Linked DNA regions of Anolis sagrei. The protein of the gene in region 2 purifies or fractionates together with the protein of the main gene of each other region. This does not show direct contact. Links are inferred from orthologs where the notes say so. Each region holds a gene or a part of one and is shown on either strand. Other genes may lie near its edges.

Evidence for each region.
Region 1: the proteins of IGF2BP3 (region 2) and HNRNPA2B1 purify together in Homo sapiens (affinity purification with mass spectrometry; 4 studies listed by BioGRID and IntAct, with this or other methods). This does not show direct contact. The link is inferred for Anolis sagrei from reciprocal best matches to the Homo sapiens genes IGF2BP3 and HNRNPA2B1.

The regions. Positions count from the first base shown.
Region 1 is NC_090026.1:91,778,050-91,785,197, reverse strand, and holds the start of HNRNPA2B1 (heterogeneous nuclear ribonucleoproteins A2/B1), read right to left. Parts: upstream 3,003-7,148; 5' UTR 2,988-3,002; coding exon 2,811-2,987; intron 1-2,810. Other genes in the region: CBX3 (chromobox protein homolog 3), read left to right, coding at 6,387-6,410. UniProt on the Homo sapiens protein: Heterogeneous nuclear ribonucleoprotein (hnRNP) that associates with nascent pre-mRNAs, packaging them into hnRNP particles.
Region 2 is NC_090026.1:92,999,621-93,007,389, forward strand, and holds the start of IGF2BP3 (insulin-like growth factor 2 mRNA-binding protein 3), read left to right. Parts: upstream 1-4,753; 5' UTR 4,754-4,899; intron 4,900-5,327; exon of another isoform or gene 5,328-5,330; coding exon 5,331-5,505; intron 5,506-7,769. UniProt on the Homo sapiens protein: RNA-binding factor that may recruit target transcripts to cytoplasmic protein-RNA complexes (mRNPs). This transcript 'caging' into mRNPs allows mRNA transport and transient storage.

The DNA.
Region 1 (7,148 bases), about 1.2 Mb from region 2:
ATACTGCCATATAAAATCGAGATTATCTGCTTTGAACTGGATTATATGGCAATGTAAACTCATATGGCAGTGTGGGTGGGGCCTACGCCAACAAATAGAGGTAATTTGTTTTCATTTCTTCTGCCAGCAGACAACTTTCAGGTGAGCAATTTGCATTTTTATGAAATGTGGTCAAGCTGAGAACAGGATGGAAGATTACCCAAATTGCTACAGTAAAGTGGTGCAATGTTAAAGGAAACCAGGGCCCTTCTACACAGCCTATCCCACATTATCAAAGGAGAAAATCTCACATTATCTGAGTGTGGAATCAGATAACCCAGTTTAAAGCAGATATTGTGGGATTTTCTACCTTGATATTCAGCAATATAGGGATCTGCAGAAGGGCCCTCAGAAGATTTGGTGCAATGCAAAAAGGCACTTTTTGGCCCTTTCCACACAGCCAAATATCCAGAAAAGTGGTTCTCAACCTGGGGTCCCCAGATGTTTTTGGCCTTCAACTCCCAGAAATCCTAACAGCTGGTAAACTGGATGGGACTTCTGGGAGTTGTAGGCCAAAAACATCTGGTGACCCCTGGCTGAGAACTACTGATCCAGAATATCAAGGCAGAAATCCCACATTATCTGAATGTGGAGTCTAATTACTCAGTTCAAAGCAGATATTGTGGGATTTTCTGCCTTGAAATTCAGAGGGGCTTTTTTTTGTCCCTCTCCCCCCCTCCTCCCACCACCACTACATTTGTTCAGTTAGTTGATCACGCCCCATACGTAATCAACTAAGGGCTCTTCCACGAAGCTCCATATCCCAGAATATCAAGGGGGAAAATCCCACATTATCTGAGTGGGGTTTCAGATAACACATCTATGCGGAAGGGCCCTAGTTTTTGCGTTTGGAAGGGCCTTTGGTGAGACAATTGTTCTAGAAAATGCAAAAACTAGGTCCCTTCCACACAGATAACTGGGTTATCTGAAAGCACACTCAGATAATGTGGGATTTTCTCCCTTGTTATTCTGGGATATAGGGATGTGCAGAAAGGCCCTCAGAAGATTTGGTGCAATGCAAAAACGGTTACTCTTTGTGCTCTTCCACACAGCCCTATATCCCAGAATATTAAGGCAGAAATCCCACATTATCTGAGTGTGGACTCATAATAACTCAGTTCAAAGCAGATATTGTGTGTTTTTCTGCCTTGAAATTCAGGGATATAGGACTGTGTGGAAGGGACCTTCCACACAGATGCATTATCTGAAACCCCACTCAGATAATGTGAGATTTTCTCCCTTGATATTCTGGGATATAGAGCTTAGTGGAAGAGCCCTTATGGGGCGTGATCAACTAACTCTGCTGGACAAATCTGGTTGGGAGGGGGACGACAAAAAAACCGGTTCGTGTTAGGTATTTTTACGTAGCACATTATCCTTCCCCCGCCCCCTTGCTGAACTCCCGCTGAAAATGGTTCCGCCATGTGACGTCCCCGTGAATCCCAAGTCCTCAGCGGAGTAGGAGAGAAAATGGCGCCGAAGAAGACGAGGCGGGGGGAGGGGGGGTCGTTCCCAGAAGGCCACGAAAGGCTGCTCTGCTCTTCTGCGCGCGCACCCTGCCCGCTCTCGCGCTGAGGCGGAGAAGAGCAGGCGGAGGTCTTCGAATAGCACCCCCCTCCCCGCCAGGAACAAAGAGAGACGGTCTCTGACCCACACTATGGCCCGTGGGCCTGGGGGGGGGGGCTTAAGGGGGGTGCCAGAGACTAACACGGCCGCTTCCCCCTCCCAACCGCTGCGGGCCTTTCCAGAACCTTCCTCCCCCTCCCCAATGGCCTCATTAGAAGCATCCCAGTCGCGCCAAGTGCGCCACCCAGCGTTTCTGCGTCACTGCTTCCAAGACCTACGCTAATGGCGTACTCTGCCGCAGTTCGCGCAGGCGCGCCGCAATCTCCAACCCGGGGCGCTGACGCTTCAGCTTCCTATGCTACGCACCATGCTTGGAGTAACGCGCTTCGAGAATAGGACTCGTCTTTCGTGCTATGGCGGCCTTGATTGCTACGTACTTGGAAATTACCTCACCATTCCTCTCCCCTCCGCATTTTTAAACAAAATACTTTGATGTCCATTTATTAAACCATATCGAATTGTTCATTCCCCGTTTTGGCCCTTTTCCTCAAAACATTACTTCAGACTGAAGTATGCGACCGTTATTTAAAAAAAATGTTTTACAAGTGATCGTGCAGTGTGCGACAACAGCTCAAAGGCGCTTCGTCACCACAGGGAGGGTCCTTCGGCCATTTCCGGAAGACTGCCGAAGAATACCGATTCCCCCTCGCAGCCCCTTCGGCGATTTCCGGAAAAACCCGAACGGACAAACAATCCATTCTTTGCGGTTTCCGGAAAAAGCCGAAGAAGCACGAAGTGTCATCGCGCCAAAAAGGGGATGGGTAGGCGATGGATTAACGAAACCCCTCTCCTTTGTAGTGGCTCGATATAGTAAAATATATTTTTAAAATCCCTTCGTAAATGACGTTTATTTAAAAAAATCATATCAATACTGTTTTGTATCGCTTTTCCCTGAGGAGAAAACAAAATCCCAGGGATGACGCGGTGAGGAATCGGGCATTAAATCAGCTCTGTTGGAAACAATTTTCAAAATCAGGCCTAGGCGCTGCCTTTCCCTGTTTGTGCGCGCGCTTTTTCCCTTCCTGCGCCGCCGCCATTTTCTCCCCTCGCTCGAACTCACAGGGACACAATGGCGGCGGAGTTTCTTTTTTCCTCCCCCCTTCAAAGTAAAAGCCGGCTATTAACCGAGCCACTCTGTCCGTTACCTCACTCACCCAGTCGCTCTCCCGGTCTCCGCGAGGCATCTCGGCTGAGGAAACAGCGAAGGGCGCGATAGAGTGAGGGAAGAGAGGCGGGAGGCGCGCTTTGGCTCCTTCGGCGGCAGGAGACGAAATGCGTGAAGCGGCTAACGACCGGCGGTGCAGATAATGGCGGCGGCGCATGCGCAGTGGCGAGCGGGAAGGGGGAAAGGGGAGGGCTTCTCCCTAGGCCCCGCCCCTTTCCCCTCGCGGCGGCGGCGGCGCCTTCTTCCACACACAGCGCGCGGGGAGCCAACACAGTTCGGAGGAGCCGAGCAGACGCTGGGCCGCCGCCATTGAAGTCCGTATCTTTCTCTTTATCTTATTTTATCCTTCCTTTCCCCTCCCATCTCCACCTGCCCTCCTTTTTAAAGCCCCTTTATCATAATCCTAATTGCAAGAACAGCATGAGCCGCTCTGAGGGGAAAAGGGCCGCTTACCTATATATATATATTTATGTAACTCGAGAAAGCTTCAGGCGTGGCCTCCTCCTCCCTTTCCTTTCTCCTCCCCTCCTCCATTTCCCTTTTTTTTTCTTCAAACGCCGCCTTATGACCCATGAAAGGGATTGGTAATGAAGCCTTTTGCAGTAGGCCTCTTTACAAACAAAATGGGGCGTTTTGCAGTAGGCCTCAAAAATTAGCTTGAGGATAATGTGAGGCCGCCCACCCAAGACCCTCCTCCGTTGCACTCTCCAACTTTAAATGTGTAAATGGCGGCCTGACCGCCATTTACTGGTAAGATCCATTTCTCCTTTCCTTCCATAAAGGAAGAGGCCCGATGAAACGGAGGCTGGAGGCGGTGAAAAGGAGTGACATCCCTCCAAGCGTCAGGTCCTCAGATGGGTAGCTCTATGCTTGGAAATGGGGGGCCAAAAAGAAGGATGGGGTCCCTTTGGGATATTTGGCCAGGCATTTTCACCCAGTCTTATTCTCCTGGACTAGCTTTACCCGCCACGCGTTGCTGTGGCCAACCTTCCCTCCCTCGTTCTCTCCTCCTTTCTTTCTCACCTTCATTTCTTCCCTTTTTTTCTTTCGTTCTCTCCTTTCTTCTCTTCCTCTTCCCTTCCTTCCCCTTCCTCTTTCTCTCCTTTCTTCCTTCTCTATTCTTGGACTGCAACTCCCAGCAGTCCTCCTGATCAGTCTATTTATCTCTCTCTCTCTCCATCTAATCCAGTGGTTCTCAACCTGGGGTCCCCAGATGTTTTTAGCCTACAACTCCCTGAAATCCTAACAGCTGGTAAACTGGCTGGGATTTCTGGAAGTTGTAGGCCCAAAACATCTGGGGACCCAGGTTGAGAACCACTGACTATCTATCTGGAGGATTCCTGGGAGTTGCAGTACAGGAATAGGAAATTGGAGGTATGCAGGGATTGGTATGCTCTCAAAGAAATCCAAGGAGAAGCAAACTTGCAGCTTGGAAGCAGTGCATTTGCATCATCTTCCTCTCCTAAAGGGCCTGGTCTAGGGGATGCTGGGAGCTCTAGTCTGGAAGAAAGTGTGGATATGCTATTGTGTGTTTTGTTTGTCCAGGGTACTCATTTTGCACATGCACTGTAACATCTCTTTGCATTTGTGGCTTTTTAAGTCCCTTCTGCTGTGTTTTTCAGTATTTTTATGAGTGATGGTCACTTGTTGGCCTGATAGGTGTATTGTGTCCAAATTTGGTGTCAATTCGTCCAGTGGTTTTTGAGTTATGTTAATCCCGCAAATGAACATTACATTTTTATTTATATAGATTGTGGGATTCTATCCTTTCTCTCCCCCCCCCCCCTTTTCCTTGCTTCTCGTGCTTAGCATCAATGCTTTGCTGTAGGCCGTTACTCTTTACATTCCATTTTTTTCGGAATGGAAGGATGCACTCACTACAAAAAAAAGGATGGCTGAAAGTGGAAGGGAAGCAGGCAGAAGGTGGTGGATTACTGGGTTGCAGAGTTTTCTGGGTGGTGGATTTGCTTTCATGCATCTCTTGGTTGATCCACCCCATCGGTTTGCAAAGAAACTCCTGTTAAAAGGCATTGGGACTGTAATATGAATTATTCTATATGTGTCCAGTGGCACCGTGGGTTAAACCACTGAGCTGCTGAACTTGCTGACTGAAAGGAATGAGCTCTCACTGTTAGCCCCAGCTTCTGCTAACCTTGCAGTTCAAAAAGATACAAATGTGAGTAGATAAATAGGTATCGCTCCAGCGGGAAGGTCACCACTCTTTACATGCTCGTCACATGACCAAGGACAGTAGTTCTCAACCTATGGGTCCCCAGGTGTTTTGGTCTACAACACCCAGAAATCCCAGCCACTTTACCAGCTGTTAGGATTTCTGGGAGTTGAAGGCCAAAACATCTGGGGACCCATAGGTTGAGAACCACTGATCTAGGAGATGTCTACGAACAATGCCGGCTCATTGGCTTAGAAATGGAGATGAGCACCACCTCCCAGAGTCAGACTCAACTAGACCTAATGTCAAAGGAAAACCTTTACCTTTTGTGTGTGTATGTTCTATAACTATGTTTAAGATTTGTTGTTGGAAGGCTTTCATGGACGGAATTACTGAGTTGCTGTGAGTTTTTCAGGCTGTATAGCCATGTTCCAGCAGCATTCTCTTCTGACATTTTTGCCCACATGTAGGGCAGGCATCCTCCGGGGAATTCCAGACAAGAAACCACCAGGGGCAGTTAACACCTCCCAACAAAGGATTCCCGCCAGACTTTGAATGCTTCTGGAACATAGCCATACAGCCCCAAAAAATCAAATCAACCTATGTTTAAGATTCCTAGGTCACGCATGTATTTGTTGTCTACTCGACCGCAATCTTGTATCTTCCTGAACTGTTAGAATTACCTGTACTATACATGGTTGTTCTTCAAAGGCTCCAAGATGGCTTGATGGATCTGAATCAAACTTCATTATCCAAATTAAAATCCTGCCAAATCAGAAATGGTCTCCCCTTTCTTTTTAAAATGACATATATTGATGGCCCATGAGTCTTATGATGCAGCGTTCCGATAGCTTACTCAGAGAGGAAGATGACAAATAGAGGAGGTCTGGAGTATCAACAGGGAGACACACTAGGAGACCCCTTCCATCAAGCCATGTAGGGCCTTTGAGGGACATAGATAAATGTTGTATATATTGATATTATGGCTGATTTTGTGACCCCTGAAATGTTTCTGGACTTCAGTTCCCAGCATCCCCAGCCCTGGTGTAGCTAATTATGGGGAAACCAGGGGATTGCAATCCAGCATCATGATATCACCCCACTTTGAGGTTTTGCAGTATAAGCTTTCTTTGCAAATGTTTGGTTTGAGATCAGAATGTGTGATGTTGTTAGTGAAAAGGCATGGCATGTTTTGTAGGTAATGCTTAACTCCAAATGCCTAGTGTCATAAGTAATATAACTTCAAATGTTGCTAATGTACTTGAATTTTGGAATCACATTGATAAAAAAGGGACCATATTTGTTTTCAGATGCCTTTCTCTGAGTAATACACATTCCTTTTGTCATGCATTTTTCTAGTAAAAGCTCAGCAAGTCTGCAATAAAAATGGCCACCAATAAATCTACATTGGTAAGTTCACAACCACATAAAATATGTAAGGATTTTATCACCATATTTCTTCAGATTTATTGTTGGCATTTCTGTGTAAAACACTGGTTCCAAACTTTTGGTCCTTCAGGTATTTTGGACTTCAGCTCCTACAATTCCTTACAGCTGATAAGATGGCTGGGACTTCTGGGTGTTGAAGTCCGAAAACTCTAGAGGACCAAAGGTAGGGAACCACTAGTGTAAAAAGATACATCCACATCTCCCAGCATTATTTACCATATTTTTATCCCGCCCTATCTCACCCTCAAAGGGGGACTCATCGCGGCTTACAGTTTGGCACAATTAGATGCCACATCAAAACAGAAATAACAAATTATAAATATTTTAACATTAATTACACATAAAAACGAGCACATATAAATACAATTAAAACAGGATTGAAAACAGCAATTAAAACAACCACAAATTCTGTAATCAGAGTCCTTGAGCCATTCCAGTTACAGTCACATTGATTTCCAGCTGTCTATTGCATTGTAGCTAGTCTCCGAATGTCTGGTTCCAAAGCCATATTTTCTAAATGTCAGGAGGGAGGAGGCTGATCTCACATCACTAGGAAGAGAGTTCCACAGTTGAGGGGCCACCACTAAGAAGGCCCTGTCTCTAGTCCCCACCTGTGACGGAGGTGGAACTGAGAGCAGGGCCTCTCCAGAAGATCTTAGCTATCCTGGTTCATAGGGGGAGATGTGTTCGGATAAGTAA
Region 2 (7,769 bases):
TATATACTGCCTTTCTCACCCTTGGGGGAGACTCAAGATGGTTTACAGCATACTAAGGGCAAAAATTCAATGCCAAGATACAAGAAAATGAAGAAATCATAATAAGTAATGACTACATATAGCTCTAACTAAAACTCAGTAAAACCATTAAACATAAGACATATACACAATTAAACATTCAGATAAAGCATTAAAATCATCCTAGTATAAATATCAAAATCACATAATCCAAAAATCTACAGGATTTTAAAAAGATTTTCAATTTAACTGGTCAACACAAGTTTTTGAAACTAAAATTTTATGAAACTAAAAATAAAACCAAACTAAAAATAATAATATAGGACTGTATCAATTTAGTTGCACAAAAGTGTCAAGGCAATGTGAACATTATTAACTCTTTTCTATCACTATTCCTTTTGTAAAACATACATAAACCAACAGCATTTGATGATACTTTTAGATAAAATCACTCTGACACAAGATATTTGACCACAATTGTCCAGAATACTTCAGCAGACTAAAATTACATTAACCCTAAAACAATTACATTTTTTAAAGTTGTGTGAACCCTAAAATTTGAGTTTCGAAATCTACATCAGGAATATAACTGAGGAATATTTTGGAAAATTACATATATAACTTGAATCATTTCCACAAAATATGTAACCCAGGGCCTTTCCACATATCTATAGGGAGAAAATCCCACAGAATTCCCGGAAGAGCCCCCATAATCTGAGCCCACACTGCCATATAATCCAATTCAAAGCAGATCATGTGGGCTGTGGAAGGGGCCCCATAAATAAACAAAAGTCCTGGGAAGGCTTTCCCATCCCATCCCATCCCATCCATCCTCCTTTCCCACCCAATCTATGCATAGCAATGACCCCTTTTTTTTCCTTGAAAGCAAATTCTTAAAACTTACTGGAGTCCTAAATATTAAAACAACAGGGCTGGCTTTCATTTCTGTATCCTTCCTTTCTCTTGTGTGTGTGTGTGTGTGTTTTCCAGGCCACGTTTTTTGTTTGCCCTGGAACCAGGCTCCACTCACTCTCTCTCCTACACACACCCTGACCCCCTCCCCCTACAAACCCACCATTGTGTGCTCTTTACAAATGTTGAAAATTATGAATGGTTCCTTGAACCAAGAGAGGAGGGGGAAACAGAGAGAGAGGAGGGAGGAGGAATGGGGGTGGGTGGGTGGATTCTGTATGGTAATCCTAGGGCTGCCTTGCCTGCTGACCATGCCCAGTGCTGCTCCCCTTCCCCTTTAAGGAAACAGCACAAAAACCCACCATTAACTAAATTTAAAAAGACAGGAGGAGGGGGAAGGGTTAGGGTCTGGAATGGGGAGAGGGAGGGGGGAGAGAGGCCGCTCTGTCCGGAGGAGCACGCTTTCCTCTGCCCTCCCACTTTCTTTCTTTCTTTCTTTCCTTCTAATCCCCCTCCAACCGGCCTCCACCCCTTTTGTCCTTCGATTCATAACGTCGTGGAGGCATCACATTCACCAAGGCTCACCAACGCGCCAGAAATATCACTATGCAGGAAAAGGAGGGGAGGAAAAGGAGGGGTGGCAAGGGGGAGTGGGAGGGAACGGTTTCAAGGAGACCCTTCCCTTCTTCTTCTTTTTTCCCCCGGCCTCAACAAGACCCCGGCTTGCTTTTTTTTTATTTTTGTCTCCTCCTTTTCTTTCCTTAAGCAAGGAGCCAATGGCCAGCAAGAAAGCCAAGCCAGCCACCCAACATTGAAATAAAGAGCAGACCAAACGCACATGGATGGGATGCTTTGGAAATCATCATAATAATCTATATAAATAAAAATGTAATGTTCGTTTGTGGGGTTAACATAACTCAAAAACCACTGGACGAATTGACACCAAATTGGGCCACAAGATATCTACTAATCCAAGGAGTGATCATCACTAAAAAAAATTATTTTTTTTCATTTGGGAGTTGTAGTTACTTTGATTTATAGTACACCTTCAATCAAAGAGCATTCTGAACTCCACCAATGATGGAATTGAACCAGATGTGGTACACAGGACTCCCATGACCAACAGAAAACTCTAGAAGGGTTTGGTGGGCATTGACCTTGAGTTTGGGAGTTGTAGTTCTCTTACATCCAGAGAGCACTCTGGACCAAACTTGGCACGAATATTCCATATGCCCAAATATGAACACAGATGGAGTTTGTGGGAAATAGACCTTGACATTTGGGAGTTGTAGTTACTGGGATTCACCTACAATCAAAGAGCATGCTGAACTCCACCAACGACAAAATTGGAGCAAACTTCCCACACAGAACCTTCATACTTAAGGCCATCCAGTCCAACTCCCTTCAACAAGGCAATGTAATCAAAGCCCTCCTGACAAAGAGCCATCCAGTCATAGATATAGATAGATATGATTCACACAGAGATATAGTATCATAGATTTGAAAGGCACTCCTAAAGAAGGACAATTATATGTTGCATGTTCCAGGGTGAGCAAACCAGACAATCTCCACATCAACACTGACAAAGAAACAGCAAGAAATGCTGTTTACACACAAGCATAAATAAATTACATATATTAGAAACCAACACTTTCTAATTACTTTGTTTTCCAGATCACCAGACTGGAACCCGTGGCAGGGGACCGCTAGTAATCTATATAAATAAAAATATAATGTTCGTTTGTGGGATTAACATAACTCAAAAACCACTGGACGAGTTGACACCAAATTTGGACACAAGACACCTATCAGGCCAACAAGTGACCATCACTCATAAAAACACTGAAAAACACAGCAGAAGAGACTTTAAAAGCCAAAAATTTTAAAAATACATTATAACCCATGCGGAAAACCACATATATAAAAATACACACACACACATATATATATACACACACAAAACACATATACAAAGACTGGGCCACAGCAAGGCATGGCAGGGATGGCTAGTATATCCTGAAAACTGGAATGCCTCAAAGAATAATATACCCCCCACTCTCTATCCAAAACAGGTTGGGTTGCTGTAAGTTTTTAGGGCTGTATGACCATGTTCCAATTCTGGAACATGGCCATACAGGCTAAAAAACTTACAATAATCCAGTGATTCTGGCCATGAAAGCCTTTGACAATACACAAAACAGGTCGCCTTTTAGACCTCCTGTAGAATTCTGGGGTTTGTAGTATAGGAAGGCTGTTAAAGCCCCCCGCCCTCAAACTACAAACCTTAGACCTCTACAGGAGACCACAGCTGGATTTAAAGTGGAATTGTTCTCTAGTGCAGTGGTTCTCAACCTGTGGGTCCCCAGGTGTTTTGGCCTACAACTCCCAGAAATCCCAGCCAGTTTACCAGCTGTTAGGATTTCTGGGTCTAGTGTGATGAGGTCCTAAGAGTTGTTTTTTTTACGGGTTGCTGTGATTTTTCCAGGCTGTATATAGCCATGTTTCCAGAAGCATTCTCTCCTGACATTTCACCCATATCTATGGCAGGCATCCTAAAAGGTTGTGAGGTTTGTTTGAAACTAGGCAAGCGAGGTTTGTATATCTCTGGAAAATCCAGGGTGGTATAAAGAACTTTTGTCTGGGTTGCTGTGAGTTTTCTGGGCTGTATGGCTATGTTCCCAGAAGCATTCTCTCCTGATATTTCACCCAAATCTATGGCAAGTATGCTCAGAGGGGGAGTCCACAACATACGAGCAAACCACAGATCACTTACTACAATGCAGCCTGAGCTCTGCCAAATGCAGAATGGAGGACCTTCTTGTAACCAGAATTCTGCAGGAGGGAGCAATTTAAGGTGGATTCATTCTTTACTGTGATGAGGTCCTTATAAGTACTTCATCACACTAGAGAATGAATCCACTTTAAATGGGGTTTCTGCCTCCTGCAGATTTCTGGGGTTTGTAGTTTAGGGAGGCTATTAAAGGTGCTTCCCTAAACTACAAACTCCAGAATTCTGCAGGAGGCAGCGGCCCCATTTAAAGCGGGATTCATTCTCTAGTGTGAGGAGGTCACACTAGAGAATAAATCCACTTTAAATCGGGTTTCTGCCTCCTGCAGATTTCTGGGGATTGTAATTTAGGGAGGCTATTAAAGGCTCCTTCCTAAACTACAAACCCCAGAATTCAGCAGGAGGCAGATTTAAGGTGGATTCATTCTCTAGTGTGATAGGGTTCCAAATCTCATTTGGTCGCCTTGGGGGTTTGCGATTTGGTGTGCTCTTCCCGGGCTTCTCTTTCCAAATTCCTCCCCGTGAGGGGACCAGATAACGAAGTGATTCTCCTCGAAGCCCATCGATTCTCCTCGAAGACCCCACGCCCCGATCCGCGCGAGGAAGGCTGGAAAACGTGGAGAGCCGCGGCGCCGCTTTTTACGCACGGGAGAGAAAGAGGCGCGCCAAAACGCCTGCGCGTCAAAGTGGAGATATATATAGATCTGTCTCTCTCTGTGTGTGTATGTATTAAGCAACCCAACCCGGAAAGTAGTAAACAGGGGGAGGGGAGAGAGAGAGAGAAAAAAAAGGAAAGAAAAAGAAACTTCTCCAGGACAGCTGAAAAAAAAAAAAGGCACAACGCAGCCTCTCCTTTTCCTCTTCCTTTCCTCTCTCCTCCTTTGTGAGTCGCGCTCTCTTAATTGAGGCGTTGGGATTCCTCGCGTGAGAAGTTGATTTGTAGTTTGAACACGTGGCCTCATTCAAAAAAAAAAAAAAAAAAGAGCCGGAATATTCAAGCGATTTCTCTCTCTCTCTCTTTTCCCCCTCCCTCCCTCCCTCTCTCTCTACTCTTTGGAGAGAGGCGGTGCCTTGCGATGCGCGCATTGTAACATTTCCATACTCCGCCTGCTTTGGCCACCAAAGAGAGAGAGACACACACACTCACATACAAAAGGAGAAGGAAACAAGGCAAAGAAAAAGTACTTTCCCTTCTTTATTTATTTATCTACTCCTTTCCTTCCCTAATTCCCATTATTTCCCCTCATTCCCAGTATCTCTTTGGATATGTTGCCTTTTTGCAAAGTGGGTGTGTAAGTAAGAGAGAGAGAGAGAGAGGAAGGGAGGAAAGGAAGGAGGGAAAGAGGGAGGGGTGGGGACGGATATAAGCCGCAGTTGTGATCCTTTCCTCCTTTTTTTGTTGGGTTTTTTGGGGGGAAAGCCCTCCCTCTTTGGCTTTTTATTTTATTTTATTGCATCCTTTGGAAGGATATTGTTTTGTTGTCTCTTCTGCTGCTGTTTTCCCAAGTAGTGGTGCTTCTCTTCCTCTTGTGTGTTTTGTTATTTTTTTCCACCCCTAAATTATTAAGCCAGGATCTAATTTTTTTTGTGTATTGATCCTTCACCCAAGAAGATGAACAAGCTGTACATCGGGAACCTGGGCGAGAACGTGAGCCCGCAAGACCTGGAAAGTCTCTTCAAAGAGTCCAAGATCCCTTTCACCGGCCAGTTCCTCGTCAAGACGGGCTACGCGTTTGTGGACTGCCCCGACGAGAACTGGGCCATGAAGGCCATCGAGGCACTTTCAGGTGGGTCCAACACCCCCTCTCAATACCCTCCTCCCCCTCCAAATGCCTCCCTCTTTTCCCCATTTCCCTGCTTTCCCCGTGCGCCATCCTCTCTCTCTCTCTCTTCCTTCTCCATCGCCGCGTGGTCGCCTTCTCTCTTCTCTCCATTCCCATTTTGGAGACGCGCGCTACCTCTCTCTCTCTCCAAAAAGGGACCCCTTTCCCCAGTTTTCTCCCAGTCTCTAAAAGACCTTATTTAGGATGGGGAGGGTCCGAAGCGGACCTGAAAGGGCCCCCTCTTCTCCTCCTCTTTGCCCCCCCAACAAGGAAAGGCGCAAAAAGAGAACCCCCCCTTTTTTGTTTTGTTTTGGTGGTGCCACAAGAAGGCCCAAAGCCAGGGCGCATTACGCACACATCTCTCCCCCAAGACTCCCCTTCTGCATCTCTCCAGGCTTCAGGAATAAGAGGATAGGGAACGAGGTGGGGGGTGGGGGTTAAGGAAGCCCCACTCTGTCGGAGAAGGGAGAGATGGCGAGACAGAAACGCGTGGAAAGGGCCCAAAGCTGTTGGGTGGGAAGGGACACACACACACTCTCTCTGGCTTCTTCTCCATGCGCGCTCTCGCCTTTCTCTCCGCCCCGGACAAAGGTGGCTTGGGGCGCCCAGGAAGGGCAGGTGGTTAGGAAAGCAAGCAAAGAAAGGAATATATATACAAATTCTCTCTCTCTCTCTCTCTCCCTCTCCCTCTCCCTCTCCCCCTCTCTCTCTCTCTCTCTCTCTCTCTCTCTCACTCACACACACACACAGAGTGGAGTCTCCTCTCCCCCCCCCCCCCGGTGCTGCAAAGCCCACCAACACGGTGGAGTTTTATTAAAATAGATTTGTGTTGGTGTGAGTTTTGCAAGCTGTATGGCCATGCTCCAGAAGCATTCTCTCCTGACATTTCGCCTGCATCTATGGCAGGCATCCTCATAGGTTGTGAGGTCTGTTGGAAACTTCCACACAGTCCTATAACCCAGAATATTAAAGCAGAGAATCCCTCGGTATCTGCTTTGAACTGGATTATCTGATGCCCCTTCCACACAACCCTTTACCCCAGAATATCAAGGCAGAAAATCTCACAATATCTGTTTTGAACTGGGTTATCTGAGTCCACACTCAGATGATGTGGGATTCTCTCCCTTGATATTCAGGGATAAAGGGCTTTATGGAAGGGCCCTGGGTTGCTGTGAGTTTTCCGGGCTGTATGGCTATGTTCCAGAAGCATTCTCTCTTGATGTTTCGCCCGCATCTATGACAGGCATCCTCAGAGGTTGTGAGGTCTGTTGGAAACTTCCACACAGCCCTATATCCCAGAATATCAAAACCCCTCGATATCTGCTTTGAACTGGGTTATCTGTGTCCACAGTGCCATATATTCATTTGCTTTGTATGCTCAAAGCAGATAATGTTGGATGTTCTGTCTTGATATTCTGGGAGATAGGGCCCTAGGTTGGTGTGAGATTTGCAAGCTGTACGGCCATGCTCCTGAAGCATTCTCTCCTGAAGGTTTGTCTGCATCTATGGCAGGCATCCTCAGAGGTTGTGAGGTCTGTTGGAAACAAGGCAAGTGAGGTTTGCATATCACAGTGCCATATATTCCGGTTCAAAGCAGATAATGTCAGATTTTCTGTCTTGATATTCTGAGAGATAAGGCCCTAGATTGCTGTGAGTTTTCTGAGCTGTATGGCCATGCGCCAGAAGCATTCTCTTCTGACATTTCACCTGCATCTATGGCAGACATCCTCAGAGGTTGTGAGGTTTCTTGGAAGCTAGGAAAAATGAGGTTTAAATAATGGAATTATGTCCAGGGTGGGAGAAAGAACTCTTGTCTGTTTGAGGCAAGTGTGAATGTTGTAGTTGGCCACCTTCCACTTCATCACACTAGAGAATGAATCCACTTTAAAATCCTGTTTCTGCTTCCTGCAGAATTTTGGGGTTTATAGTTTGGTGAGGGTGTTTAAAGCTCATCCCTAAACAACAAACCCCAGAATTCTGCAAGAGGCAGAAACCGGGTATAAAGTGGATTCATTCTCTAGTGTGATGAGGCCCCCTGATTAGCATTGAATGGCCTTGCAGTTTTAAGGTCTGGCAGATTGCTGCCTGGGGGGATCCTTTGTTGGGAGGTGATTAGCTGACCCTAATTGATTTTTGACTGGACTTCCCCTGCTTTTTGAGTGTTGCTCTTTAGAGTGTTTTTAAAACTGGTGGCCAGATTTTGTTCATTTTCATGTTTTTGTCCTTTC